Linked DNA regions of Diceros bicornis minor. The protein of the gene in region 1 binds, or shares a complex with, the protein of each later gene. Links are inferred from orthologs where the notes say so. Each region holds a gene or a part of one and is shown on either strand. Other genes may lie near its edges. The genes, in order: PTPN3 and MAPK12.

Region 1 (15,218 bases):
CAAAGGCTGGTGACTAGGTTCTGATCTCAGAACAAGGGTCGGGAGAGGCACGTGAGCATTTGCGCAGGAGGTACAGGTGGAAGTGTGAGCACTGCAGGAAAAGAGAAGATAAGGCCTAGGGAAACTCTGGTCCCCTGCCCCACCTCACTCACACACCCTGGCTCTTAAATTCCAATAGAATTCGGTTAGTGGGAAGCACAGCTGGCTTGTTTGTCCCCCTTGTGCATCCATCACAGGCCCCGTCCCTCCTCCTCCATCCAGCCTGGGTATGTAAGTGATGTTCCAGGCTCTGCCAGTCCCTGTGGCAGGAAGGAGCAAGCAAGGCAAAGCTGAGAGAAAGCTGGTGGAGCAGGTGCAAAGCTGAGGAGGGGCATGCCAAGGGAGATGCGACTACAGAGGTGCGTGTGGACCAAAGCCACGAACATGGGCCCAGCATGCAATGCCAAGGAGATCAGTTTTGTCTTTATCCAGGCAAAGGATTCCTGGTGCTAGAAGGGTTTCTGGGCTGATCCTCTGGCACTGATCTCCAACCTCAAAGTCACGTTTGCCCAGGGAGTCCCAGAGGAGGCTACTCGATTAGATGTAATTCTCAACAGCACTCCTTTTATTCTCAAAATGTTTGGATGATAAATTCTAGTTGCCTTATTCTTGGGCCCCTAGGCCTGCGAAGTTCAAGTCGCAGTTAGAGAAGGCTGTTCGGCGTTGGGAGGGACCAGGCTGAGTCTCACCCCTCATCAGATGTTCCATTCTCCTCTCCAGCATCCCTCCCAAGCCATCACCCAGCATCTGCTTGTATACCTGCAGAGACAACAGGCTCACTACTACACCTGAGAAAGCCTCTCTTTTGGGGGGAAAGCTGTGCTATAAAAATAGCAAGATTTAAACCTATAAACAGTGTGACTGCAACTGAATAATAGCCTTCAGCAAGGAAAGGAGTAGGAGTGGGGGAAACTAGAAAACCTGCTGACTTTTTTCCTTCCATCTCCTTCCATCTTACCACGTCTTCATTCAACAAATGTTTACCGAGTGCATTTGATGTTCCAGTGGCACTGGGGACACTGTGTGAGTTAACACAGACACACTCAAATTGAAGGGCACTCTAGGAAATAACTGGCCTGTACTCTCCAAAAACGTCAAGGTCGTAGAGGACAAAGATAGGCCGAGGAACCGTTCCAGTTTAAAGGAGACTAAAGAGACGTTACAACCACATGCAACACAGGATCTGGGGTTTTCTTTGCTACAAGGGACACTATTGAGACAAATGGCAAAACCTGAATATGGCCGAGAGATTAGATAACAGTATTTTTATATTGTATCAATAGTAAATATTATACAAAATATTTTATATTTTAATCAATATAATTTATTGATTCTAAAAATTAGACTGTAGTTACATAGGAGAATGTCATTGTTTTTAGGAAATACACTGAAGTATTTTGGGGGAAAGGAAGAGTCTATAAATGATCTTCAAATGGTTCAGGGAAAATATATACATACAGAGAAGGATAAAATAAATGTGATAAAATGGGAACATCTGGGGAATCTGGGTGAAGGGTATATGGTAGTTGTTTGTTCTATTCTTGGAACTTTTCTATAAGTCTGAATTAGGTCAAAATAAAAAGTTAAAAGAAAAAAATAAGTCTCAGAGAAAGTTTTCTTTAAAAAAAGAAAGACAGACCCTGACTTCACAGAGCTCACAGTGTAGCTGGGGAGGCAGGTACTAATACAAATAATTACACTAATTAACCACAAAATTGCAACTGTGAAAAGTGCTGTAAAAGGAGAGAGATCTGGTGGCACGAGCGTTTATAGCAGGCAGTTTACCCCAAATCAGGAAGGCGAGGGAAGGCATCTGCAGCCATGGAACTAAGACCCAGAGGAGCAGTTAACTGCGGGCGAGCGGAAGAAGGTTCCAGGCCTCCACAGCCCCTGTGGCAGGTGAGGCGAGAGCTGGAAAAAGCAGGAGGATCAAAGCCCGCACACCGGGGCCTGCAGGAGACGCCAACATTCATTTTCTCTTTTATTCTAAGAGCAATAGGAAGTATTTTTGCAAGACCCCCTGGGCTGCGGACTAGACGACAGGCTGGCAGGTGAAGGGGTGTGTGGAGTCCTCGGCAGTGGTGGTGGTGGTGACGGCTGTCCCTTGAGGAGCATCATGAATGATTTTTCTTCTGCTCCATGACACTTTAATTTTCGACCACAACCATGTATGAATTTGATAGCCAGACCAGGGGAGGGAACTGGGGAAGCAAAGCGGGCAAGATCTGGGCTCAGGCTGTGATCATCCCCACTCCAGGCCCACCATGGGTAGGGTCAAGGGCTGGCTGACAGAGCTGGTTACCACCTCTTTCACCCAGAACCTGGGGTCTAGACCATGAGGATGACTCACCCAAAGGAAGTGGGGTGCAGGAGCCAGGTCTTCACACCCCACTCCTAAAGTCCTCTCATCAACACAGCATCCAGCTGGCCAAGGCCCCTTTCTGGTCCCTGGGGGAGGGGGCTGTCACTCACGCACAGCAACTCTCAGCACTGAAGCTAAACAAAGGGCCTGTCTGGAGGATCAGGGGCCCAACCACAAAGGGAGGGGCCCTTCTTGTACCAAGTTCTACCTTAGTGGGTTTTCAGTCCTTAGCTCCTTTACAATGGTCAATTTAAAGGAAACAGGTTCTATTATTATCCTCATTTTACAGTTGAACGATTTGTCTAGGGACAGACTTGGTTTCAAATCTTGGCTGTCTACATATAAGCACTGTGCCCCTCGGGCCGTCACTTCATCTCTCTGAGTCTCGATTTTCTCACCCCATCTGTAAAATGGGACTGGTAGGATTAGCAAGATTCTGGGGCTGGAAGGCACCATTTATTCCCTTTTGGGGCTCCAACAGGCTCAGTACAGAAAATTCACCCCAAACTACACATTGCTTAAATATTTACTAAAACCTTGTGTATCCTGACAGTAAATCATGGGACCTGAATTTTCCAGGACTATCCCAATTTCAAATCCTCTGTCCTAACTTTCCACATAAACCATTGAAATGCCTCAAAAATTCCACTCTCTCAGTATCCAAACAACACCTCCCAGGCCTCCTCTTGCCTAAAGAAGCAGTTCAAACATTCTTTTTCAGACTACAGATCCCAATCTTTGGTTCAGAAATTGTAGTCAGCGGAGCCCGGCTGGCCCCCCGAAGGAAACGGGGTCAGGGAGAAAAATCCGTGGCAGTCAGCAGTCCATCACAACTCGCAGACGCGGCTGTTTCCCGGCGCATCGATGTCAACTGCAGCCGGGAGAAGCCGTACCAGGATCAGAGCATCACCCACAGAGGGACACGGCCTGGGGAGGTGAGCTCTGCCCCTACCTACCAAGCGTCCGGGTGCCAGCGAGGCAGCATGGCCAGAGGGCTGCCACGAGGATGAAATGAAGGAGTCAGTATTTGGACAGCACTCAGCACAGTGCCTGGCAGCCAGTAGGTGCCGTACCAGTGTTTAATAACTAAAACCAGAGGCATCGCTGCCAGAAGGTGCTCATGCCTCAAAGACAACCCAGGAGCATCACTCCCACCCAGCCAAAATGAGGAGCATGGGCACTTTCTCCTGGGCTGGGAGGCGGGGCCCCTGTGCAGAGATGGCGCAGCACCCTAACTACAGGAGCCAACATCAGGAGGCTGCACCTGGGGAAGAGTCCCCCTCCCGAAGTACACACAGTCTCTTCACGCCTCTGAGACTGTGCTCCTGCCCTCTGCCTGCCCCCCAAAGGCCATCTTTTTCTACCCTCAAGGCTGAATGTAATGCCAACTGCTCCCAACGGTGTTCCTGATGCCCGTCAGAACAAATGGCTCCCTCCACTGGTCTCTCCTGTGTTTGGCTTTATCCTCTTTTAAAGCAGTTATCAGATAGACAGACGGACGGAGATGCAGATGCATGCGTGTACACACACACACACACACACACACACAGTGTCGCTGCCTTCCTAACTCCGCCATGCATCCTTCCAAGATAGGGGTTCAGCTTTCATCCCTGAAGCCCCAGAGACTGGCATACAGTATAGGCTCCATAAATGTCCTCTTTTGCTGTTAAATCTGTGCTCACGGCTGGTCTTAACCTGGAGGCCGAGGGTTCAGGTGCATGCCCAAGCAGAAGCTCTGCAGATGCAAGACCTCTGGGTCTTGGAAGCCATGACCAACCAGATTTCAGTCAGGGGCCTACCAAGCACTCCCTTTAGTGCCCCCGCGGGCAGATGAAAGGAGACACCTGTGAGATCAGAGCCTGCGGTTGCGAGGACCCAGACTAGAGCAGTGTGGACACCGAGCAGGTCCTGTCCAGTCTCCAGGAGAGTAGTGAGAAGAGCCCAAGCTAGGGAAGCAACAGCAGCAGGCTGCCTGCCCCCACCGGCCGTCAACACCAGGGCCACTGTGGGTACTGAGTGCCATAGGCATTCCAGCCCCTGCAACAGATGCTGGGGAGGGATGAAGAGGGATCAACCCTGCTTTCCAGAAACCACTGTCTGCTGGAAGGAAGGCAAGCTCTGGGAATAAGGTCAACAGGCACTCTCCTAGGTAGAGAAGGAGGGACCACAAATTGCTGGTCCCCTCCCAACCTGCCACAAACCCTGGGGGAGGGGGTAGAGAGGGTTTCATGTCCTCCTGCTCCCTCCAGTCCCCAAAGCCAAGTCCCTCTGGTGACTTATGTCCCTCCTAGAAAACGGAATCCCTCGGGTGCCTGGACCCGAGGTGCAAAAGGTCACAATTCGTCCCTCTTGCTCCTGGCCCCACACTCCCTTTGCTAGCTCAGTGTGCTTGTCTGCAGGGGCAGGGAACGCGACACTGAAATGAAATAATGTACGTGAAACCTCCCAGTTCACAGTCAACCATCAAGGAGCTGGTCTCAATCCCCAGAGACCAATTACCAGCCTGGGACCCCAACTTCTTTCGGGGATATGATTTGTCTCTGACAAGGATCCTGACACTTGAATGAGAATGTTAAAAAGCTCTCAGAATACCTTTTCTATGATAAAATGCAGAAAGGAGGGCTCAGAGACAGGAGCGAGGAAGCAGTGCGGGATCCTGAATTTGCCTCAGTGTTACCTTGGGTTCTCTCTCCTGCCCCAAGCTGTCCCCAAGGGCCAGCCATGTGTCTGTCCTGGCCAGAACCTGCCTTCTCCCTGCAGAGAAGTCCCCCCAGGCACCTAGGTTCACTGGGGTCCCCTGGCCTACTCTGCATCCCCACCCAGCACTGCATCTACCATATAGAAGCAGCCCAATAAATGCTTGCTGACAAGAATTCCTCAGCCACTCCAAAATGCCTTCAGTAACGTGACCTTTGACATTCCCCAGCTAATGTCTAATTTGCATACAGGAGTCCGTTTTAGGAGACTGCAAATCAGGAGAGACAACTCAGGATCAATACAGAGTATTAGGCACATTTTATTCTACTCTAATTCTCTGCAAATTGGTATTCCATTAACTGTAGGTGGGATTTATGGGAGCTCATTATCAACTAGAATATTTAACTACAACGACCTACTCTCTGTCAGATCATAGCTTACGGTTAATTTTCAACTAGTCAATCTCAGAAAGGTTCTAGCTTTCAGTCTACTTTACATCATAATTTAATCATCAGGAAAGTCATCTATTTGCGAGTCTCCATACAATAAAGAGCAGCTTGATGTAGAAGAAAAAGACCCACCCGTGGAACCAGAAGACGTGAGTTACATCCCAGCTACACCACACACTGTGTAATCGACAGCTCAAAGCCTCAATTTCCTCATTTGTAAAATGTGAATAACACCAGCCCCACGAGGGAGTTGTAAAAACTAAATGAGCTGACCCATGTGGATGCTCTCTGTGCAGTTCTATAAGGCTATACAAAGGTTAGTTATTATAGTAAAAAACATAAGATGAAATTCCCAAACAACTCAGGCTAATGATAGAAAGCACAGTGGTTCTAAATCGGTGGTTCTCAAGAGGAAGACAGGCTATTTTGCCCCTCCTTCCCGGGGCCATTTGGCTGTGTCTGGAGGCATTGCTGGTTGGCACAACTAGGGAGAGGGTTTGCTACTGGAATTTACTGGGAAGAGACCAGGGATGCTGCTAAACATCCCACAATGCATAGGACAGGCCCCACAACAAAGAATTACCAAACTCCAAACGGTAACAATCCAGAGGCTAAGAAACCTTGATCTAAACAATCACTGCAAGTTGGGTTTGGGAGGTTTTTAGAACAGAAATCTTCCTCACCAGGCTTTACTTTCAAGCATCATCTGCTTAAACATTTGCAAGATGGATCATTTTGCAAAACAGCTCTTTTGCAAGTAAAGCTGAAGTGCCAACTTCTGGAGTTTCTGAATGTATAAAACTGCTTTTAAAGAAGATGCTCTCAGGTTACAATTCGGCTAAATTGTTTTTCCAAAGCCTTGACTTCAGCAGAAGTTCTCCTGGGCACAAAGACAGGGTCTGTCACTCTGCCACTAGGCCCTGAAGATGCTTTCATAATTCTAATTTCCTGGTGAAATGGGAGCCACGAGGGTCTCTAAACGAATTAAATTCACATCACGCCGCCAACTGCTCGCTCGCTTTGTGCCGGGCAAGGTGCCAAACACCTCCACATAATTTATCCCACTTAATCCACCCGACAACCCAGTGAGGTGGGCATCATTACCGGCTGTTTGCAGGGGAGGAAATTGAGGATCAGAGAGGTTAAACAACTCGCCCAAGGTCACCAGCTGGCCACGGGGGAGTCCAACTCGAACAGAGGTCTCCAGTTTCCAAGTCACAAGCTCTTTCCACCACCTCGGAAAACCCAGGTGTCAAGTTGTCTCAACTTCCCATGAATTTTTAAGGCAACCGCAACTTCTCAGTAAGTTTAGGTTGCTGGAAATGCGAATTTCCGGGGGGCTGGGCGCTCTCACATACACCCCGCCCCCCACTGCAGCTGTCTCAGCACAGGTACCTGATAAATCATTCGGATCGCCCGCGGAACGGGGAGGATTTATTGGCGCTGGAGTTCGTGCCAGGCCCAGGAAATGCCATCTTTGAAAGCCGAGAGGCGGATTCGCCCGGGGAGCCGAGAAGGGCTGGCCGCCGCGCTTGGCTGGCTCCCCGCGGGCTGTGCGCCCCCTCGGCGCCCGGGGCCGCAATCGCGGCGACGCTGGGCCCCCCGGGGTCGCCGGCCGCCCGGGCTCGGTCGCGCCCGCCCCTGCCCCGGTTGGAGCGCACGCCCACGCCCCGCCGCCGCCACCGCGTCCCGGCCGCCCGCCCGGGACAGAGCCCCACCCGGCCCGGCCTGCTCCCTCCCGCCCCGGCCCCGCCAGGTGAGCGCGGCGGGGGCGCCCCCTCCCCGCCCCGACGTGGCGCCCGCCCCGGGGCGGCCGCGGCCGCCAGCCCGCCCGCGCCTTCGCCGCGCGCCCGGGGCCGGTGGGGGCGGGGCGGCGCCGAGCGCGCCCCCGGCCCCGCCGCCCCGCGCCCTGCCCCCGGCCCGGGGGGTCGCGGCGGCCCGTACCTGCAGCATCCGGGGGCGCGGGGCGCCCAGGTAGGTCGCGCGTGCGGGCGGCGCGGAAGCTCGCTCGCGGCCCGACCTGGCCGCCGTCTGAGCATGCCCAGTGCCGCCCGCGGGCGGCTCCCGCCGGCCGGGCTGGCCGCGACGGGCCCGCGCGCCGGGCGGGGGGCGGGCGCCCGGGCCGCCCTGCGGGGCGCTCCCGCCCCCGCCCCGAGCTGGCGCGCCCGGACGCGCCTCCCCGGGCCACCCGGGCTCCCATGCCGAGCTCCGTGCAGCGCCGGCTCCCCTTGCGCATGCACGCAGGCATTGGCTCCATAACCACTTATTGGGCACCTACTGTGTGCCCGGCCCACGGTGATTCCATACCTAGGAATGTCAAGCAGTCGGCGTTCAGCAAATCTTTGAAATGAGGAGTCGTCTCGCCCAGCGGCTTTGTGGTTTAGCAGGGGTCCTGCTGACTCCCAGTCCAGTGCTCATCCCATTCCACTAGTAACCTTCCTGGCTTAAACCCTCTTCCCAAGATTTATAGGCCCCCTACCTGATCTGTGCTGCTGCTTTCCTCTTCCACCTCATCTCACACCTCTCTTCCTGCAGCCCCAGGAGCACCTTTCTGTCCATCAAACACTCAGAACTTGGATAGCCTCAGGGCACTTGCACATGCCTCTCCCCTCCTCTGTGTGGGACGTCTTTGTGCAGCTTTTCACGTGGCTGGCACCTTCTCATTGTACATATGTCCCCCTTCTAGGAGAGGCTTTCCCTGACCCCCTTACTAAGTTAGCCCCCTGCTCCGGGACACTCTCCATGTCCTCACTTTATTTTCCTCACATTTATCACCATCCATTAATTTATTCAACAAATAATTATTGATCACCTACTCTGGTTATTCGCGCGTGGTGAACAAATAGACAAAAATCTCGTCCCCTGGTGGAGTTTGCGGGAAGAGAGGCAGGCAACAGACAATAAACATGCAAATAAGCAAACTACTATATAGTATATCAGAAGGTGGTAAATTCTACGAAGGAAAAAGAGCAGGGTAAGGAGACTTGAGGGTAGAGGGAGTGCCATTTTCAATAAGGTGGTCACATTGGGCCCTTGAGAGGTGACATTGAGAAAGTGACATTTTAGCCACGCAGAAAAACTGGGAAGAGCATTCCTGGCAGAGGGAACAGCCAGTGTCAAGACCCTAAGGCGCAGGACTGCTTAGGCAATAGCAAGGAGGGCAGAGCAGCAGGAGATGAGGTGGGTAAGTGACTTTTCCTGATTTGCTTCCTTATTGTGTATTCACCTCCGGAATTTCAGCTCCGCGGCTGGAGCCCTGCCTGTCTTTACTGCGGTGTCCCAGCCCCTACAACAGCCTGGCACACACTAGGTGCTCAAAAAGTGTTTGGGAATGAATATGTGAATGAAGGAGTGGAGTAATGGCTGGAACCATCCTGTCCGGCCCCAGGTGCCCAAGGTCCAGGGGTCCGGTCGGCCCAAGGGCCATCCGGCGGCCACCGGCAGCACCTAGCACTTCACTTTGGTCATTGTCCCCGAGTCGCATGTTGCTGGGTAGCGCCACCGCTGCGGGCGTCGCACTAGCGTCGCGTCGGGTGAATTCCGACGGAGCCAGGGAGTCCCAGGAACAGGACCCGCCCCGCGTCCCGCCCCGCCCCGACCTCTGGTCCCGGGCAAAACCTGGAGGCGCGGCGCCCGCCCTGCACCACTGGGACGGGCGGGGAGCGCACTGGGCATGCTCGGAGCCGGGCGGGGCCCGAGCGCCCGGGAGGAGGAGCCTCCTGGAGAGGCCGGCGACGCCCCTCGCAGAGGCCGGCTCGGCCCTCGACCCATCGCTGTACCCGCCGCCTCTTAGCGGGACTTGGGGGCATTTTTTCCAAAGCTCGGTGGGAAAGCTGGAAATTCAGAGTCCGGGAGAGGCGTTCTCTGTTGTCTCCCAGCTGCTGTGTGATCTGGGACAAGCACCTTACCCTCTCTGTGCCTCAAATAATACGAATACCTACCGCTTCGATCTGGGGCGCATGTGGGGATTGAATGACATCAAGAACATGAACATGTTTAGTCCACTTTGAAGATCCATTTCTTGAGTGCCTACCTCCATTATCTGTCATCCCCATACCAGTATGCCAAGGGCTGAGATGAGGAAACGAAGGTTAATGGATGTGTGAATTCTTGCAGTTGTCTCAATTTGCTTTCCACCAGAAACTAGGCTGAAACCACCTTTTCTTTCCCCACGGTGAACACTCATTAGCTTTTATAAACAGTGTTTTCAAATTGAGCTAAAACATATCCATACATTTAAGGGAAGAAAACCTAAATCTTTTAAAAATTGTGCATTTCAAATCAGCATAACAGAAACAGGAACAAAATTAAAGAATATTCCCCAAACTGGAAACATGTCAGCAAATAGAGAAATGATTAATTAGGTTATGGTATATTTGTTGAAGTAACTGTTTTACACTAAGTTAGACCATATTGCAACAGGGGAAAACTTACAGTGCAATGTTAAGTGAAAAAAAGCTGAAAACACAAATATACTACGTAAAGATTATGTCCACACATTTACCAAGACTAAAAGGAAATATGGGAAAATGTAAATAGTCTGATTTGGGGGGTAGTGGTCTTGGTTTTTCTTTTTAAGTTTATCTATTAATGTCACAATATTGTGTTTGCAATGTTTATTATTTTAAAATAAAATAATATAATAATAACAAAAATAATTGCTATTATGAAGCTCAAGTGTGATCAATATTTTACACATATTCTGTCCTTAATCCTTATGGTCAGTCTACAGAGTGGGTGTTTCTAGCTCAGTTTTACAGAAGAGGAAACATTCTACGAGCTGTTCACAGCTGCTAAGAGGCAGGGTCACTATTTGGATATAAGTTGGTCTGACCTCAAAGCCAGGATGTTAGGTTTTATAATACCTCCTCTCTCTGTGTAGTAGCTTACCATATATTGATCATAAGAGAAAACACACATCATTTCCTTTTGTGTCTTTTTTGCCTTGTTTTCTCTACCCTTTGATTTGTTTATAGGCTACAGATTACCTTTAAATGTTCTGGTCCTCTGTTACTGTTTTATTTTGGGGGCCAAAATGGTAAAGTCCACCCTTTTAAGCTGTGGCCCCTGGAGTGACATGATGTTATTATCAGCAATGGCAGTTGATCTTATATCATAAGCTCACAAATCTTATGCAAATGGGGCTTTTGGATGGACACGTAATCTTCTTAGTCTATATAGTTGAACCCAGCCAAATCTAGAGCAAACAGAGGCCCAGTTGGGAATAGGACTGTACCAAGTCTCAGATAATGGGGCCAGTCCAGAGAGGACCCACCTAGATTACTGTCCCTGGGCAATCATTTTGGAGGCAGAATCACAACATAATAGAACCACATGGTCCATGGACTCCTCAGGACTTTGCTGTGATGAAAAGATACAGGGCCGGCGCCGTGGCTTAGCAATTAAGTGCGCGCACTCTGCTACCGGCAGCCCGGGTTCAGATCCTGGGCGCACACCAATGCACCGCTTCTCCGGCCATGCTGAGGCAGTGTTCCACATACAGCAACTAGAAGGATGTGCAACTATGGCATACAACTATCTACTGGGGCCTTGGGGAGAAAAAGGGGAAAAAGGGAGGAGGATTGGCAATAGATGTTAGCTCAGCGCCGGTCTTCCTCAGCAAAAAGAGGAGGATTAGCACGGATGTTAGCTCAGGGCTGATCTTCCTCACAAAAAAAAAAAAAAAAAAGATACAGAGCTGATAGTCCTGATGATGTTTGCAGAGAGAAAGCCAGGACCCTAAAAGCAGCCCTCCTACTGCTGACAAGCTAAAAAAATTGTCCGCTCTCTCTTTTAACAGTACCTGGCCCAGAAATCACTAAACAACAAGCGCAAAAAGCCAAAGAGGGTCATTTCATTGGAGAGGAAGATGTGCCACAAACCCAATATGCATCACTAGTAATGGACCAGATTCACACAAATTAAGAGGAACGAGAGATGAGCAGCTGAACACGGTTATTAGCAGCATTCCCAGAAGCTGCCATTTTGGCAGAAAATCTGGTGCCAAGCATTGCACACAGGCCATAGGCCGGGGGCATTTATGAGAAGAGTTTCCTGGAAGAACCACTGAGGATTGTCACTCACATCAAGACTCAGGAAGTCTGGGCACCACGTGGACTGTTTCAGTGATCCACAGGGCAGGGCTCCCAGCTGAGATGCTAATGCTCATCAATTATTTGTGCTGTTAATGCAAGCTGACGAAGGGCCCAAGAATCGGTAAATACGTGGGCAAGTGGTGCTGTTATAATGACAAGTGAAAAGAATACATTGTAAAATTATACGAGTAGTATGGCTTCAGCCCTGTGAATTACTAGGTTAAACCATACAAAATTGCCATTTTGTAGGTCAACAGTGGTTGAACATCGGCGACTTCCTATATTTCAACTTAATACATACACATAGGAAAAAGACTAGAAAGAACTACACCAAAATATTAATGGCGGCTCTGTCTGAATATTGCATGTATGGGCAGAGAAACAAGATACGGAAGGTATCTTTTACAACTCAGGACAATTTCAAGTCTTTGGGCATCTATGTCTTTGTATGTCTTTACGTGTAGTTCCCTAAATCTTAGTTTAAGATAAGTTTGTTTCTTTTATTGTCAGGAAAAATGAAACAAACTTAAAAGTTGGCAAGCCAAAGAAAATGAGGTAAAGAGAGAAAAAATGGCTACTCCAGCATTGCACAAAAATTTGAGCCGTTCCTTTCACGGAGAGTGGAGCCCGCCCTGCGTGCCCAACCGTGGCTGATGGTGACACGATGTCTGTTCCCGGCCCAGGAGGGAAGCAGAGAGAGAAGGGGTCAGAGGTCAAGTCAGAAACCTGCTAGAGAAGTGTTGGTCCAACTCGGACCCCCTCGGACTCAGCCTGTGTTTTTGGAGCCTCCTACACTTTACGGATCTCATTCTGAGAAACACAAATTTTTAAGCCTCAAGTTTTATCCATTCCAATCCAAAAAATATCTTTGCATTGCGAATTATCACTGCCAAAAGAGTTTTGTCTGTAAAACTGATGAACAAATTTAACATGAGTACAACAGCAGAGATGAGGTGATTGTTGTCCATTCGTTTACTCATCAAATATTTATTAAGCACCTACTGTGTGTCAGGCACTGTGCTTGGGAGACTTCAGTGAACAACACGAACAACAATGCATCCTAACAGGCAAGCCAGACAATGAACAACGAACATTATAAAAAAGTGAATGATACTGTATGTTGAGAGACCAGAGAGAGGTGTGACAGGAGAGAGATGGAGATGGGGTACATGGGGAGTTGCCATTTTAAATAGGACTGAGAGATTTAATCACTTAAGCAAACACTTAAGCAAAGACCTGAAGGAGATGAGATTGTTATTCATGCAGATATCTGGGGGAAGAATCTTCTAGGCAGAGGGAATGGCCAGGACAAAGGCCCTCAAGGGAGCATATGTAGAGTAAGGAGGCTGGTGGGGTAAGGGAGAAAGCAGAAAGTGGCAGGAGATGAGAGGAAGCCAAGAGTTCCAGGAGCCAGAACCCAAGGGCCCTCCCCTCGTCAGCCCCAGGAAGGACTCAGCCTTTCAGTCTGAGCTAGGCGGACGCCAAGCCCACGTAATGGCTGCCAAATGTGCTTGTCAACAAATCAAAAGTTAAACGCTGTCCTTTTAGATGGTCACTTGATGCCCACTTGACGATGAACGCAGATTCGAATAAGGAAACCGAAATCATGTGGCAGCCCTCTGTTATAAGGGAGTCAGCCAGACAATCCAGATTGTGTGTATATATTTTTAATATTATCATAGGAATGGAAAGATAACATTAAACAATTATTTTAGAGCATTCTCAGACCTTCAAGAACACTTGAGTGAACTCGCAGGGATACACGGACCTGAGTTTGAAAAACGCTTTTCTGGCACACATGCTGTAGATATGCCAGAGGACCAACAGGACCATAATAGACCCACGGACCACCACATAGATTTGCTGCTGCGTGAAAAACGGAAAGATAAGTCTAGGGGCCTTGAGAGCCTGCTCTTTGAGATCAAAGCATTGAGGATGCTTCTATCAACAGATGGCTGTGACTTTAGAAGCAAAGAGAAACAATGAGAAATGCAGAGAATGAAAGTTGGCATCCGGTCCTGTGGCTGACCGTTTTTAAGCAATGGCCTTCCCTGAAAGTGGTGGTATCATCTTACAAAACCCAGGGAGAATAGGTTTGTCAAGTCTCCCAACCACACCTTTAAGGTTCATATGCCCGAAAACAGGAGGAGAGAGAGAGAAACACCCAGGCAATGCAGAGTAGTCATTCAGAGGTCATGGCTTTGAAAAATCAGCAGTGATGAAGAAAACACTCGAAAATCTTTAATAGAAGTTTCTAGAGAGAAGAGTCAGGACCAATACAGAAGGCAGCATGTCTCAAAGTTTGATCCAGGAACCACATATCAAGATCACCTTGGGGGAAGGAGTCCTTGTGAAAAAGCAGACTCTTGACTTAGCACAGACCTTCTCAATCTCTCATTGTGGGACCCAGGAACCTGTATTTTATAGTTTACTGTAAAAATCTTATGCGTGCTGAAGTTTTATAACTTCTATCCTGTAGCTTTCGATGTATATATAGCAAGAACATAGTCTGAGTAATACACTAAGAAGATGGGAAATTTTACCAAGAGATTATTATGGTCTTGTAGGTATCACTGATGCTTGGATGGATGGGAGTAAGGACCAGAGCATCAACTTCTTAAAAGATGTGCACATATAAAGGGGTTGAAGGGGAGGAGAAGAGAAAATGGAGAAGGGCATCCCCTACAGGCACACAGGGACCCCTAATTGAGAGCTGTCAGGCTCTCTGCTCTTGATCTTGGATTTCTGACTCCATCCAACCGTGCTCTCACGCGGCCAGGAGCAGGCTAACCGTGTGACTGGAGAGGAGGCAGTAATGGTGGTAGTCATAGTGGTGGGATGAGTGCTAGAGAGCACACACAAAACTGAGGCTGGGAAGTTCATTATCTCCCAGAGTGGAATTGGACAAGTGGGGGTAGGGGAGGGATGGGCATTTACTTTTTGCTATAAACCTTTTTGTACCTTCTGAATTATCTACCATGTGATGTATAACCTATTTAAAAATAAAGAAGTTCTCTCTGGAAAAAAAGAATGATGTATGCACAATATGTTTTTAAAATTATTTTGTTTTACATTTTGGCTCCCTCTAAATTTTGCTGACCAAGCTCAAAGTCCAGGTTACTTGACAAGTCAAGGCTGTAACTATGACCAGGGTGCAACAATGTATAGCTTTCTGAAAAGAAGCAGCCATAGGTCAAGAACTCCTATCAGAAATGCATGTGGCTGAGAGATGGAACAGAAAAAAGAGCTTTGGATGAGGATAAAAGAGAAAGAAAAATCATTTCAGTGACCTTAAGATCAAGAATGATGCTTTCCATGGATGTTAGCTCAGGGCTGATCTTCCTCACAAAAAAAAAAAAGAATGATGCTTTCCTGACACAGTTGGTAACAAAATGGCCAGAGAAGTAAGATGGGGAACTTCAGCTACCCAGGCCTCGACTGGAAGTCGAATCCATGAAAAGATGGTCATCTGAAACCTGTTCTAGCTTGGCTGACCATTTCATCCCTGAGACACTGGAAACCTGATCAGGGCCCAGGAGAAAACTGTGCTCCCAACCCCTGGTGACATTTCAAGAA
Region 2 (14,839 bases), on another chromosome or scaffold:
ATCCACAGCGTCCACATTCCTCGCCTGGTGGACATGTTCCCTGAACGGTGGGCCCAGAGCAAGCCATCCCAAAGGAAGGGAAGGGACCTGCTCCGCCTCCCCTGACCAGTCTGCAAAGAACAGGCTCCACTGGGCCTCGCCAGCATCCCATGCTCACCTGGGCAGTGGAGCACCTGTCTGGGGACACGGGTACTCCACAAGCCAGTTCAGGAAACACTACGCATTTAGAGCAGGTGGTGTGTGTAGTGTGCCCTGCATGGGGTGTAGTGTATTCCCACCCCATGGGGTGCCTTCTAGGCCCTTCATCTAATCCCAACACAGGGGTCAGTCCACACAGGGAAGGTATGTGTGAAGAGGCCACTGCTGCAAGGCTGGCTTTTCCTGGGGAAACAGGAAGTGATGAGTTCACATTCCTCACCGGGCTCAGCCATCAGCAGACCACCTGTCCACCATGGTCTGCAGTAAAAGCAAAAGCTCTCACCACAGTTGTGTGGGCGGGGACCACAGAGAAGATCCTGTGGCTTGTGGTTTTCGAGTTATCTTTTTTAGCAGCAGAAAACTTTCATCAAACCAAACCAAACTTATAAGCACAAAACACAGCACAGACAAGGGTGGAGCCCCTGCTGGAGGCACCAAGGCACCCGGGGGCCCTAAGGAACATGGTTGGAGAACCACAACCCAGCCCCCCCCACCCCCCCACAGGACCAAAGCCCTGGGTCTGAGGCAGAGCCAGGACGGGGCCCAGGACACAGCGGCAGCCATATGCCACGGCCCCAACAGTGCTAACTGCTGCCTTCACACATCCCTGTTCCTCCAGGCTGGTCCTGCAGCCACCGAGAGAAAGACACCAAGCCCAGCCCCCGTGGCCTGCCATTCTGGAGTGGACACAGATGAGGCTAGTTCCAGAGGGAGGCCTCAGGACCGGGCAGGCCCTGAGCCCAGCCTAAGGTCAAGCAGGTGTTGATTGGCCCTCAAAGATGAGGGCAGGGGCCCTTGGTGTAAGGGGACAGCCATCTGAACTGCTCAGTGGGGCTGAAGGGGACAGGCAAGGGGTGGGGGGTGGGAGGCACTGTGGGCTGCCTGGGGTGGACCTTATCCTGCCAGCAGGACATAAGGGGTATGCAGTTGTTCAGGTGGCTGGGTCCTGAAAGGGGCAAGGGGAGGTGAGGACAAGTCTGAGGTGTGAGTAGAGGCCTGGGGGGCGAGAGGTGTGGAGGGGCTCCAAGCTGGCCAGGGGCTCTGGCCTGGACGTGGGGAGGCTGGGCAGCACTGGGGCGGGGCCAGCAGGTCTGGGGCCGGGAGCTGCCTCCCCACGATTTCCAGAACTTATCTCCTGCTCCTGTGTGTGCCGAGCCTTTCAGGAACACCCTCCCTTTCATCCTTCAGCCCCAGCCAGAGGCCACCTCAGCCAGGAAGCCCCACTGCCCTCTCTCTGACCTCCTGTCGTGTTTCTCACCTGACCTGCATCCCGGGGTGGGGGTACCCAGGGCTCTGAGCCTGGCCACCTGCACGGGGTCGGGGGCCCAGCACAGGCCCTGCCCAGAGCACCCACTCACGCTTCCACTCGTCCAGCGTGCGGTCCATGTCATCAAAGGACTCGTCGTACTTCTGGGCCTTGGGTTCGTCCTCCGTGTCCTGCAGCGACTCGAAGTAGGGGTGGGTCAGCGCCTCGGCCGCCGTCACCCGCCGCTCCGCATCCAGCACCAGCATTCTCTCCAGGAGGCTCACGGCTGGGGGGACAGCAGGTCAGGTGAGACCAAGGAGAGGGCCCCACGCCCCAGAGCCCTGGTCATGGACCCCGCACTCCCCCCAGTCCAGCCCTACCCAGAGGGCTTGCATTGGTCAGGATGGAGGCAAAATCCTTCTTCTCCAACTCAGGGAGGCCCTTCATGTAGTTCTTCGCCTGTGCGGGAAGAAAGGGTGAGGGACCTGCCCCCAAACCCGGACCGGCCCCTCCAGCCCACCCTCGGCTCCTGACTGACTTCATCACTCTGCAGCCTCTGCACAAACTCAGCAGGAGGCGTCCCCGTCACCTTCATGATCTCCTTCAGCTGGTCCAGGTCTGCGGCAAGGTCAGGAGCACAGCAGGGGCCAGAGAGCAGAGTTCACCCACCCCCCAGCCTGCTCCCCAAGGTGTAGGATACGATCGTTGCCCTTGAACAGCGTCTTCCCCGTGATCATCTCTGCCATGATGCAGCCCACCGACCAGATGTCCACTGAGACAGAAGCCCCCACATCAGGGCTCTGTGGGCAGGGGAGGGTGGGGGGTGGGGGAACACACACACGGGGGTTCGGGGGGATGGAAATGGACACAGGACATCTAGCCTGCCCCGTCCTCGCCTGGCTCCCATCCCAACTCAGGAGCCTCCCTGCGGAGCAGCCACCATGGGCCTTCCTTTGAAGAAATAGGGAGGCTGGCACAGTGGTGGCCCTGAGACTCTAGGCAGTTTCTCACCTGTCTGTGTGTAGTGCATCCAATTCAAGATGACCTCAGGCGCCCGGTACCACCGGGTTACCACGTATCCGGTCATCTCGCTGTCTGCCTGCCTGGCCAGGCCAAAGTCCAAGATCTGCAGCCAGAATCAGGAAGGTGGGGCAAAGGGGCCCCCAGGGAGTGGGTGGGCCAGGCTGTGGTCCAGGGGACCCCAAGGGGACTGGGCAGGCCAGGGCCTCCTGCCAGCCCTCCAGGGCCTGAGGTCATGGCCAGGGATGCCCAAGCCTCTGCCAGGATTCCTCCCCACAGCCAGTGCACCCAGCCTGCCAACCTTGCCTTCCCCCCACTCTTAGGAGCAGGTACCCCAGGGGGTCTCCTCTTCCTGCTCCTCCACTCTCCACTGACCCCCAGGACCTGGCCAGCACCTTTGGGGAGGCCATCTCGATCCTGCCCTGATCAGGCATGGGGGACTGGGGACACATCCCACCCTTCCCTTCAAGCAGGGATGGGAGTGTGCTCAATGCGCCCCATCGAGTGCCTCCCCAGGGCCCATCTGCCTATCCGCTGCTCGACCACTGCCTGGATGGCTGGGGTCTGGTCTCTCTGCCTGGGCCTGGGCCTGGGCCAGCCCTCCTGCAGGCCTGAGGGCTAAGGATGCAGCAGGCAAACGGGCAGGTGGGAAAGGAACCCCTGAGTCCCCGCACCTGACACGCACCTTCAGCTCACAGTCCTCGTTCACTGCCAGGTTGCCAGGCTTCAGGTCCTGGGCAGAGGGAAGGTGGCCATGTGGTCCTGCCCACCAGGGTGTACAAGAGCCAGAGCCCGCACAGCAGCTGGATGTGGGAGCAGCCACACTCGGCCGGCCTATGCCTGCAGCCCTTCTCATAAGGGTGGAGGTGCCTGGGACCCCCAAGGCTGTGTGCAGGTGTGGTGCACACTCCCCACTGGACCCCATCATGCTCCCTTACAGGGGAGAAATGGAGGCTCCTAGGGGTCGAGCCCCTCGCACACCCACACAGCCAGGACTCACCCTATGGATGACACCAGCAGCATGGATATACTGTGGGGAGAGAGAGAGGGTCAGCAGAGGTCAACTTACTGGGACCTCAGAGCCCCAGCCCAGCCTGGAGGGGCTCTGCCTGCTCCTGCGGCTTGCCCCCCGCACACATGTCCCCACCTTCAGCCCCTTCAACATCTGGTAAACGAGGAACTGGATCCGGTCCTCACTCAGCTTCTCATGCTTCATCAGCTTGCCCAGGTCCGTGCCCATGAACGGCATCACCAGGTAGCTGCAGGGGTCAGGGCGGGGTGCAGACAGTGGGGATCACACCTACTGGGCCTGGGCCCAGGCCCAGACCCCGGGAGGCCCCGTCACCCACAGCATCAGGCCTCCACCTCCCACGTTGCCACCCCAGGCTCCACCCACCTCCAAGGAGTACCCGCGGCTCCTTCTACCCACCCGCCCTCCCCAGAATGTCAGGCGGGTAGAGGGAAGTCAGAGCAGCGGTGGGGCCAGTGGGACATTTGGGTCAGAGGGGCAGGCTGGGCAGGCGGAGGGAGAGAGACAGAGGGGAGAGATACTTAGCACCCCGCCAGGACACTGAAGCCAGTATGGTCCTCGACCTCTGCAAGGTCGGACGGCAGGAGCCTGGCCTTCCCAGCCCAGCCCCTGGCTCTTGGCTGACAACAGTGTGAGTCCAGAGGGGGCCGCCTGGGCAGCCACAGGGCAGGCTCAGCAGGGGCAGAGGGTCCTCCCTGCCACCCCTCCCTGCCTGCCAGCGAAGGCCAGCAGCTCCAGTTACACGTCACATACTCGGTGCCAGGGTCCCAGAGCACAGGACCTGCCGGCCAGCAAACACTCAGGCCCAAGGTTCGCACCTCCAGCACTGGGGAGGGCCCAGGGCCAAGCGTGGCAGGAGGCCCAGGCTCCACCCGGATGTGCCAGCGCCGTGGGTCCAGGGGCACGTGGCAGGTGGGTGGACTGTGCTGTAGGGAGGGGGTGGGCAGGGTGCATCCCGACCCCCATCCAGGCTGCAGGGAGAGACCTGTCTCAAGTGGGTCCCCACACCAACCCAGAACACCCAGGAGCCACCCAACACTGCTCTGCCCTGCCCACCAGCCCCGGCCAGCACTCACAAGTCTGTGAAGTCATCCAGGGTCTCGTCAGGAGTGAACACGTCCAGCAGCCCGATCACCTGGGGAGGGGCCGGAGCACCAAGTGGGATAGGGACACAGCGGAGGGCGCGGGAGCTCGAATACACCTCTGAGGCTGATACGGTGCTCAGGCAGGAAAGCCCCCTGCAGCTGTACCCGTCTCCCCCTACTGCCTGGCTCTGCCCACTGGCAGCACGACCCGGCCTGGCACACATGCCCACAGACACAGGCTATTTTTGGATGGTGACAGCTGGGATCCTCTGGGGGAGGGGCAGCCCCAAGTCTGGGTCAGCTTCCAGCCGTCCAAGGAGCTCCAGCCCCTTGACCCTTCCTCCCCCTTTTCCTGTCCTCCTTGAAGACCCAGGATCAGGGTGGGGACAGCCCCTTGGGGGAGAGCTAGAATCTGGCAGGTTCTTCCTTTGCTGGAGAGGCCCAGGCGGGCAGCACTATGACCAAACCCCTGACCCCAGAGACCCCTGGTCAAAGGTGATGGACAGCAGACAGGTAATGTGACAACTGGCCCCAGGGCTCAGAGTGACAGGGCCTCCAGGAACCCAGGGAGGCCTTCACATCCGAGCGGTTGGCAGGGGGGACACCTGGCAGAGGTCATGTGGATGGTGGCCGAGGCAGGAGGGAGAACACTTCGAGCGTTTGAGGAACATGGGGAGGGAGGCCAGGTGGCCGAGGCCCAGGCCAGGGAGTAGCCAAGGAGAGGCCAGAGGGAGCCGGAGGAGGCCCTCACAGCCAGGTGAGGCTTGGCTTCCATCCTAAGAGCCACCGAGGAAGGGTTTAAACAGGCATGATACTGAATGTGTCTCCCTGGCTGCTGTGTGGGGGCAGACCGGAGTGAGGTAAGAGTGAACGTGAGGTGGAGGAACAGCTAGATGACCATTGCAGCCACTGGGGCCAGAGCCATGGGCAGCAGGGGAGGAGAGAACAGAGCAGGACATCCAGAGAGGGGCCTGGGGCACTGGGAGGGTATTGTAGCAAGAGGGAGGAGAACAGAGGACCGGATCCCCGAGATTAAGGGGATTGTCAGGTTGACGGAGACTTCTGTGCCTCTGCGGTGCAGATCGCAGCAGAAGTAGGGGAGAAGGAGAGGGAGAGGCTTGAAGTGGAGGGCGGAAGGGGCAGGACTAGAGCACGTGGCAGCCGCTCCACAGCCTCTCAGAGCCTGTTTCCTCCCAAGGAAATGGGTTCACAATAGGCCAGCCTCCCAGCTTGTGTGTGGGGTGCCTGGAGGCAGTGCTGGGTGCTGGCGGGTGAGGAGCTGGATGGGGATGGTAGGACCCACCGCACAGTGGGGTGGCCCCAGCACAGGCTGGGGGGCAGGCCCCAGGAGGGGGCTGGGCCAGATCAGGGGTGGGAAGCAACTGAACAGAAGGCCCAAAGACCCTGCTGGATGAGAAGGGTGGGTGGGTGGGAGTGAGGGGCAGTAAGGGAGAAACCGGATGAAGCCTGTCTGCCCTCACGGGGACAGGCCTGGGTGTGACCAGGAGGTAGTGAGGCCAAGGCTGGGCTGGGGTCCACCATGAATGGATTTCACCTGGGAAGAGATAAGGGCGGAGACGGGCAGGCTGAGAGAATGAAGAGCCAGCCAGGGGCTAATAGGGTGGGCATGGGCATCAGCCAGGAACCAAGGGGACAAGTTTCCGGCTGGACACAAGGACTCATTCCCTCCAGGGAGTGCTGGCGGCTCTGATGACCCGGGAGGAGTCAGACCACCTGTGGGTGCCCAAACCACCATGCCTCAGACTGGGCCCAGAAGTGGGGTGAGACAGGAGTGGCTTCTGTGGGAGGGGGCAGAGGTCATGGCCGCAGGAGGATTGCATCAAGAAACAACAGGAGCTCCCCTGGCGGAGAGAAGGGCTCTTAGCAGCCAGCAACAGCCACGAAAGAGGCCCATGGCAGCTGTGTCCCACGGGCAGATGTGGAAACAACTGGTAAGCGCCCAGATCTGTCCCTTCCCCACTGTCCGTGAAGCCCCCATGGACATGAAGCCAGCGTCTCTGCGCCCAGTGCCCTCCACACATCAACTCTCTAAACCCTTTCACCACCCCAGACCCCAAGGCTCCGAGGTGACAGCCAGGATGCTGACTCCAACACTATGCCTGCTCTGTGTTCCCAGGGCCCCAACTCCTAGGGCTGAGGCTCAGGAGGTAGACTGGAGCAGAGTGGGTTCAGGAGGGGCTGGACCGGCTGGAGAAGGGGGCCTGCGGTCGGGCAGCGGGGAAGAGGATAAGTGCCCCTTCCAGGAAAATCGCTCCTCTCCCTGGAGCGTCCTCTAACTTCAGGCTCCTGGCTGGAGGCAGCGTTTGGGTGAGACATGGATGATCCGCCTGGGCAAGTGGCCGGCCCCTGACCAGAGCCTGGGCTTAGGAGCCAGATGCGGCCCCAGGAGGAAGCCAAGGAGCTAAGTCCTGCCCAGGGACTGGCCTAGGAGGAGAGGACCAAGCCCTGGGGCAGCAGTCTCCCTCAGAGAGAGGAGGGGCTCTGCCCTCACCAACTGGAGCCGCCCACCCTTCTCGGGGACAGTGCCCTGACACCCGCCCCACGGCACAGGGGGACGCCTAGGAGCCGGGGAGGAGGGCGACGAGCGGCGCCGACGGACGCGGCGTCCTGAGCCCAGGACCCCGCGCGACTCACGTTCTCGTGGCGCATGTGCTTGAGGAGGCGCAGCTCGCGGTAGGCGCGCTTGGCGAACAGCACGGACTGGAAGGGCCGGTACAACTTCTTGATGGCCACCTTGGCGCCCGTGCGGCTGTCCACGGCCGAGCTGCGGGACGCACCGCTTAGCGGTGGGAGGGAGGGAGGGCCGGGTCACCCCGCCCAGCCACCCGCGCGGCCTGCGCTCACCACACGGCGCCGTAGGCACCCGAGCCCACGGGCTGCAGGTCCTGGTACACCGCGCGCACCTCCCAGGCCGTCTTAGTCACCTCTTGGCGGTAAAAGCCCCTGCGGGCGGGTGGCGGAGAGCTCATGGCGGCCCGGGCACCGCCCCCGCCGCAGACCCCACGGGCGCCGCGCCCCGGGACCAGGAACCGGGATCGGCGGGCTCCCTGGGCGCGCGCCGCGGGCCACCGCGCGGGAGAGCCGGTTCCACGCCGCCCGCCCGCCGCCGCCGCCGCCGCCGCCGCCGGGCACTGCCGCTCCCGGCTCTTCCCTCCGGGTCGCCGTCCTCCAGGCTCTCCCGTCCCGCCGACCCCGGCCCGACCCAGCCCCAGACCGCGTAGCGCGCGGCCCCTCCCCTGCCTGCGGACCAACCGGCCCCCGGGCCGCGCGCACGTGACGCCCCCGCCCGCCCTCGGCCCCTCCGGAAACCCGAGGCGGCTGTGGCCCGGGAGCACCCGAGACTGGGGGGAGGGGACGGAGGGGGAGGGAGCGCCGCCCCGAAGCTCAGTCCCAGCCTGGAACCGGACCGGAAGGGGTGTCGGAGACCCCCGGCTCGCCCCCGCACTCAGGCTGAACCCCCGGGCCCGCGTCGGGGGTGTCTTAGCTTGGGGCTCCTGTCTCCTCCTCACTAACCATGCCCCCAGGGCGCTGGGCCCGTCTTGGGCAGCCTGAGGCCGTCGGACTTCTATCCCCAGCCCTACGCCACTGTCCAGCAGCCCGCCAACTTCCACCCCCCCACACCTGAGCGCCCCCCACCCCCGCCTGATCCATCCATTCCCCAGTGTGAGGTCCCCAGCACCTGTGGGGTCCGTATGGGAGAGCTCGTTCTGTCTCCCAAACTTAGGCTGCATCCCCAACACCCCTCCCTGTGACCACAGACCCCAGGCCTCCCAACCCCAGGGAGCCAGAGAAGGTGGTCCTGTAGGTTCCCCTTGGGCCCTGTGCACCCCAGCTCCCTTCTCTCCCCCTACTTGGCATGTGGGGAGCCTGCTGCGAGCATTCGCAAGTCCCTCTGCGCGTCCCAGCCCCTGCCCAGCTTATTCCCTCCTGTTTGTCCTTCAAAGCCCAGCCTGAGCCTCTCCGCTCTCTCCAGGAAGGTGTGCCTGACCCTGCGGGTGAAGGAGGGCCCTACTGGGCCTCTCAGCGCCCCCTTACCCCTCAGTGGGACCCATCCTGGACCAGATGCTCCTGGAGATCAGAGCTCCCAGCCCCCTGCCACATCCTCCCCTAGCCCAGCGATGGGGGTCTGAGAAGGAGTAGGGTAACAGGATTCCCAGGGCCCCCTGTCCCGCCCTCTGTGCCCTGCCCAGCTGGCTGCCATGAATCAGCAGCTCAAGCCTGGCCAGAGCAGCTTTACACCTGGGCTGCTGGTTGGTGAGGCTGGTGATCCAGAGCCCTCAGGAGTTGGAGGTCAGTGGAGGCAGCCTGGGGTCATGGGAGCCACAACCGCCTGTACCCGTGCCCTTCATGCCCTGGACTGCCTGTGGCACTCTACCTGCCTCCTCCAGGAAGTCCCCCAGCTGGACCCCTTATTCCCTGTGCTGGGGCCCAGGGTCCAGCAGGGTTGCCTATCAGGACACACCGCCAGATGGGGCTTGTTCCCGGGGTTCTGCTCCCATCCCCCACCCCACCCCCAGGACTTGGCCCAGCCCAGTCTCCGGAGGTTCCCCAAGACTTGAGGCCCACTAGCCACACTGACCAGGCCCCTGGAGGCCCACTTCCCAGATAGTCTCCACCACCCAAGACCCAGGGCAGGGGCACAGAACGTCCCTTTCCTGGGGACACCCTGCCTGATCTCTGTCAGGACTGGGTCGTTGTCCCCCCCGCCCCCCAAGCTGCAGTGAGCAGGAGGTCGAAGGCTGAAGTGGCCCTCTTTCCCCTTAACCAGGAAAAAGAGGAAAGGTATTTCCCCCACCCAGCCCAGCCCAGCCCAGCCCTGGGAAAGGCCTTTGCTTCCAGAGACCCCCAACTGTCACCCAGTGGCCACCCTGACCACTGAGTCGAGGGGCAGTTCTGCATCTGGACCAGACGCCAAGCCTGCCCAGTGAATCCCCAGCTACCCTGCTGGGGTCAAGTTGAGGGTGGCCATCATACCCTGTCCCCCTCAGAGCCCACTGGCCTGGGTGGAGGACTCACCCCCACCCCCCACCCCCAGGTCTGCCTGGGTTCTCAGGGAGCAGGGAGCGTGCCGAAGATGGCTGCTTGTCTCACTGGGGGCCCAAGGGATCTGGCTAGTGCAGGAGTCTGGTGGGGCCAGGCCAGCTGGAGGTGTGATGCTCGGAGAGCCAGCCACCCACTCCAGGCAGTGGGGAAAGAGGGGCAGCAGGGCTTGGAGCCTGGGACACAAGCTGAGCCAGAGGGAACCCCCTTTATTGCGAAACCCTGGTGCAGGCACTTGACATTCAGACCTCCCTGGTCTTGCCAGGTGATAGGTCACCACCTGACAGAGACTCACACCCACAACACGTGTGGAGCAGGGTCCTGGCCCAGAGGTTAGTAGGTCAGCTCCATTCTGGAAGGAGGGAAGATGAGGGCAGACCCTCAGACCAGAGCACCCCAGCTCTCAGCTGCAGGGCCAGAGGGCGGGCAGAGGTAGAGCAGGCAGAGGCATCTTCATCAGTCAGGGCCACAGTCCAGGGTCAAGTCCAAGTCCACATCGGTGTGTGCCCTCCTTCTTAGCATCCTCAAGGTGGGAAGCCCCGTGCCCGTCAGCTCCCCAACTCGCACTGTGCCCCATGCCTTGGAAACCTGGTGCAGCTCCCACACCCAAGGAGAGAGCCCCGGCTCTTGCTCCCGTGGTTGCCCCTTCTCCACCGGAGCCCCTCTCATGATGCACAGTGGGATCTCAGCCCCACCCCCACCCCCCAGGCATCAGGAACAGTGGGGAGGGGAGGCAATAGTACAGCCACCCCAATTCAGGCCTCCTGCCAGTCAGGCCGCTGGGCCTTGGGCACCCACAGGTGCACATACGCCTGCATGTGCCTTGAAGTGCGTCTGTGCCACACACAGCGCAGGTGAACATGCAGCTCAGGTGGATTTTCTGATTTGACACCTGGCAGCTGTCCCCGCCCTGCCACCCCCCAGGAAAGACCCTGCTCAGCTCTCAGACCATCAGGTCTCAGCACTTCCCAGGGTAGTGCCCGCTTCCAGGCTGAGCAGCTCTGACCGCTGCGACCCCTCCCTTTGAGTCTCCAGGGGGCCCTGACGCCAACGCACCACCCCCAGAGACAGCCCTCCAGGACTAAGGAGATCTGGAGACAGACACACTCCCCAGGAGAAACCCATACGGCATCCAGTCCCCCAGTGAGGTCCCAAAGGAGACCCAGGGTGCTGGGAGGGGGTAGAAGGACGGTGGAAGTCCAGGACACTCTGCCCAGACTCCTACACCCGTGGCTCGCACGCATGCACACTTGCATGCATTCACATGTGTGTGCAGACTCCCCACAAGGAGCAGTGTGCAGACGGGGCGTCCCTGGCCAGGGATCAGGGTTGCCGGGCCATCAAGGTGGCGCCCCTTGTGGGACCCCAAATGCTGAGGAAGGGGGGCAGGCAGGCTCAGGCCCCTCGTTGAGTTTGAGTGTGGTGATGGGCAGCATTCCCCTCACTGCCCAGTCTCCTGGCTGCCCAGCGGCTGCGGTGGCTCTGGGGGCTCGAAGCTCAGGACTTCCTGGTAGGTGAGCTCTGAGGGGTGAGGGGAAGGAGGGGAAAGGGTGAGCTCATGCTGCCACCAGCCCAGCACCCCTGCCCAGCTTATCTGGTGCCAGCTACCCAGCCCAGGACCACCGTCCTCCGAGAGAAGCCTCAGCTCCTGGGCCTCCTTCCAGAGCCTGCCCTGTGCTGCCCCCAAGCCTCCGCTGGACACACCCAACCTCATCTCTAGCTGTCCCACCAGGGCATCGGGCGGGGGTGGGGGGGGTGCGGAATGTTGTCCCTGCTCCCAGACCCCCTGGGGAGGAATGCAACCCTGGGATCCTGGGCTCCACCTCCCTCCTCAGCCCTCCTCAGGCCCACCCTTCCACTCCTCCACCGTGCGCTCCTTGGCCTCAACACTTTCGTCATAGGGCTCGGCCTCGGGCTCATCATCCGGGTCGTGGTACTGGCTGAAGTAGGCATGGGCCAGGGCCTCAGCTGCACTGATCCTCTGGTCACTGTCCAGCACCAGCATCCTTCCCAGGAGGTCCACGGCTGCAGAGGAGCCAGTGTGGGGGGGTCAACTCTGCATCCAGGGCCAGACATGGAGCCCAGCCCAGACCCCAAGCCCATCCTCACCCAGGGGGTTGGCTCCACGGAAGATGCTCCTGAGGTCCTTCTGGGGCATGGGGGGCAGGGACTGGATGTACATCCGGGCCTGGGAGCACATGGGAAGGGCCTGAGGGGGCTGCTCACCCCCACACCTCCCCTAGCCCTAAGCCAGAAGGGGGCTTGCCAAAAGAAGCCCCAGACTCATTCACTCCCACAGGCCTGGGCAGGGGCATGCACAGACCAGAGACCTCCCCTGCTTTGGACCTGGGGGCTCCAGCTCCTCGCCTGGGCCTCAATGCCTGCAGGACCTGGCACGGTGCCGCCCACCGTCCTTGGCCAGGGCGCTGTTTGTCGGTGCTGCAATTCTGCCCTCGCCGTCCCTCGTGCCAGGAATGTCTTCCCTGTTCACCTGTGTCCCCCTGAAGGGGTCGGGCATCTTCCTTGGGCTCTGTTCCACTGTGACCTCTGCCCCCACATGGTGCTCAGTCTATCCCCACACTGCCCCTTCCTCCAGAGTGCCAGGGGCTTGGTCAGCAGAGGGAGCTGGTGTCCGGTGACTCACATGTTCCGAGGATATCTTCGCCAGAACCTCGGGGCTTGGTGTGCCCACCACCTCCATGATGCGCTTCAGCTGGTCAATGTCTGCCCGGCTCAGGAAATGACCACTGGCCAGGCACGGACCCTTCCCGGGCCCCAGAAGCCAGATCTTAGGGCACTGCCCAGATCCTGCTCTCCTACAGCTGGGGACAGTGAGCCCAACGTGGCACGCAGTGGGGCAGACGAGGCAAGACTGGCCAGAAAGGGCCAGAGCCCCCCTCCCTCGACCCTACCCCACAGAGGGGCCCCTGGTTCAACGTTCCTTCCCAACTTGGGCCAAGGATACAGTCGTTTCCTGGGAAGAGGGCCTTTCCCTGGAGCAGCTCGGCCATGATGCAGCCCACAGACCAGATGTCCACTGTTGAGGGAGGGTCTCCATCAGTCCCCAGTTCCTCCTCAGAGAGCTAGTGGGCTGCTTGGCCTGTGCCAGCCCAGTGGCCTCTCAGTCACACCCAGGCCCAAAGACAGCAGGCCCTTCCTCCTCCACACAGCCCTGGGCAGGCAGAGGGGTTAGCCCATGACCCAACATGCTCGGCCCCTCCAAAGGTCTGTTTTTGAATGCTGGTCCCAGACCTTTCCTGTCCCCCAAGACAGGACACACACCTCCAAAGTCCTTGGCTTTTGGCCTCACCCCCACTCGCCCTCCACAGGCCCTGGTGTGAGCTCTGCCTACCCACCCCGGTCCCACGTGGCTGCTCCCATGCGGGTTGACATCACCTGTCTGGTTGTAGTGCATCCAGTTGAGCATGATCTCAGGTGCGCGGTACCAGCGTGTGGCCACGTAGCCAGTCATCTCCTCGTCAGCCTGGCGCGCTAGTCCAAAGTCCAGGATCTAGAGCGGCCACCAGGGTTGTCAGCGCATGCCCCTCCCCGCATACCCCTCCCCACTGCCCAGTGCGCCCCACTGCTCACCCTAAGCTCGCAGTCCTCATTCACCGCCACGTTGCTGGGCTTCAGGTCCTGCAGGGCAGGCAGGGCGTGAGCGCAGGAGGAGTCCTGCAGCCAGGCCTGCAGGGAACCGGCCCCTCACCCCTCGGCCACACCTACCCGGTGGATGATCCCTGCCGAGTGGATGTACTGCGAGGGGGAAGGCGCAGCGTCAGGTTCCCGTGCTGCCGTGCCCCCGTGCCCCCCGCACCTCCCACGCCCCCCCCCCCCCAAGCCCACCTTCAGCCCGCGCAGCAGCTGGTAGACAAGGAACTGGACATGCTCGTCGCTCAGCGCCTGGCACTTGACAATGTTGTTCAGGTCGGCGCCCATCAGGGTGGTCACCAGGTACCTGGGTGGGTCAGGGATCAGGACTGGCCCGCCGACCCCTCCCTGAGCACACTCCCGGGCCACCCATCCTCTGGCCTCTCACACTTCGCTGAAGTCCTCGATGGAGGTGGCCGGCGTGAAGACGTCCAGTAGCCCGATGACCTGGGCGGGAAGGGAAGTCAGGACTCGGCCTTGCCCACAGCGGCCCTCAGGCTGTGCATCCCCCACGGGGAGCCCCCAGCTCACGTTCTCGTGCTTCAGGTGTTTGAGCAGCCGCAGCTCGCGGTAAGTCCTCCGCGCGTGGATCAGCGACTGGAAAGGCCGCGACAGCTTCTTCACCGCCACCTTCTGGCGCAGCCGCGCGTCGTAGGCCGAGCTGCAAGGCGGGCGAGTGAGGCGCCGGTGGAGGGGCCCAGCCGGTACGCGGCCCCAGGCCTGTCCGGGCTGAGGGCCGAGGGGCAAGGGTGGGGTCCACGCACAGACGCTCCCGGCAGCTGCTCCTCCACCCCTGCTCGTCCACTGCTCTCCTCCCTCTGCGCCTTTGCTCTAAGGGACTCCTTGGAGGGGGCTGGACCGCCGGCCACCAGCAGGTGCGCCTCTGCGGGGCCCCAGGGGCAAGAAGGTGACTGGCACGTGGGAGGCGCTCTGACGACAACACTCCCAAACAACACTCCCACGAAACCTCTTCTCACCGCCCCCTCGGGTCCTGCTCCTTCTCAAGAGGCAGCTCACCCTCCACTCCACCCCTTCACCCCCAGCATTCCCATATCTGCAGGGGCCCAGCCTGCCCCACCTGGGAGCCCCAGGGCAGGACCTGGATCTTCTCTTGTCTGCTCCTCCCAATGACTCTCGCCCCCAACTCAGCACAAGGCGGGGGTGGGGGAGTCTCTGCCAGCCAGCCTGGAAATAACACGTCTGGGAAACAGCCCCTGGCATGTCCCCAAGCAAACGGTCCTCCTCCTCCCCCATGGGCCTGTGGGTGCAGGAGACTCCCCGAGGGGTTCTAGAGCTGCCTCCAAAGCCCCTGAACCCCCAAAGCCTCTGAATATTCAAAATACGGAGGAAAAACTGGCCACAGGATTTACTGCATCGTTTCTAACAGTGAGAAACTGGCCAGCAGGGAATGTCCAGCAGTGAGTGGTATCTGGACCCACAGAACATCTCCCCTTGCCCAACCTCACTCCCCAGGGGCAGAGCCTCCACCTCTACACCAGCCTCCAACTTATCTACTCTTCACAGGAGCCCAACAGTCACTGGCATTAT

The links.
Region 2: the proteins of PTPN3 (region 1) and MAPK12 are in contact, whole or in part, in a crystal structure (PDB 4QUM), measured with the Homo sapiens proteins. The link is inferred for Diceros bicornis minor from reciprocal best matches to the Homo sapiens genes PTPN3 and MAPK12. Residues at the interface, in NP_002820.3 of Homo sapiens: Arg655, Leu671, Asn674, Arg675, Tyr676, Lys677, Asp678, Val679, Arg751, His812, Ser843, Ala844, Gly845, Ile846, Gly847, Arg848, Met883, Gln886, Thr887; in NP_002960.2 of Homo sapiens: Met182, Thr183, Gly184, Tyr185, Val186, Val187, Arg189.

The regions. Positions count from the first base shown.
Region 1 is NC_080767.1:18,388,250-18,403,467, forward strand, and holds the start of PTPN3 (tyrosine-protein phosphatase non-receptor type 3), read right to left. Parts: upstream 7,562-15,218; 5' UTR 7,492-7,561; intron 7,097-7,491; exon of another isoform or gene 6,943-7,096; intron 6,915-6,942; exon of another isoform or gene 6,652-6,914; intron 1-6,651.
Region 2 is NC_080764.1:543,060-557,898, reverse strand, and holds the start of MAPK12 (mitogen-activated protein kinase 12), read right to left. Parts: upstream 7,590-14,839; 5' UTR 7,570-7,589; coding exon 7,445-7,569; intron 7,365-7,444; coding exon 7,235-7,364; intron 4,630-7,234; coding exon 4,571-4,629; intron 3,724-4,570; coding exon 3,612-3,723; intron 3,495-3,611; coding exon 3,465-3,494; intron 3,198-3,464; coding exon 3,150-3,197; intron 2,571-3,149; coding exon 2,456-2,570; intron 2,217-2,455; coding exon 2,145-2,216; intron 2,063-2,144; coding exon 1,983-2,062; intron 1,904-1,982; coding exon 1,825-1,903; intron 1,731-1,824; coding exon 1,457-1,730; intron 111-1,456; coding exon of another isoform or gene 1-110. Other genes in the region: MAPK11 (mitogen-activated protein kinase 11), read right to left, coding at 11,082-11,161, 11,492-11,665, 11,750-11,828, 12,285-12,364, 12,606-12,677, 13,037-13,151, 13,232-13,279, 13,367-13,396 and 4 more. UniProt on the Homo sapiens protein: Serine/threonine kinase which acts as an essential component of the MAP kinase signal transduction pathway.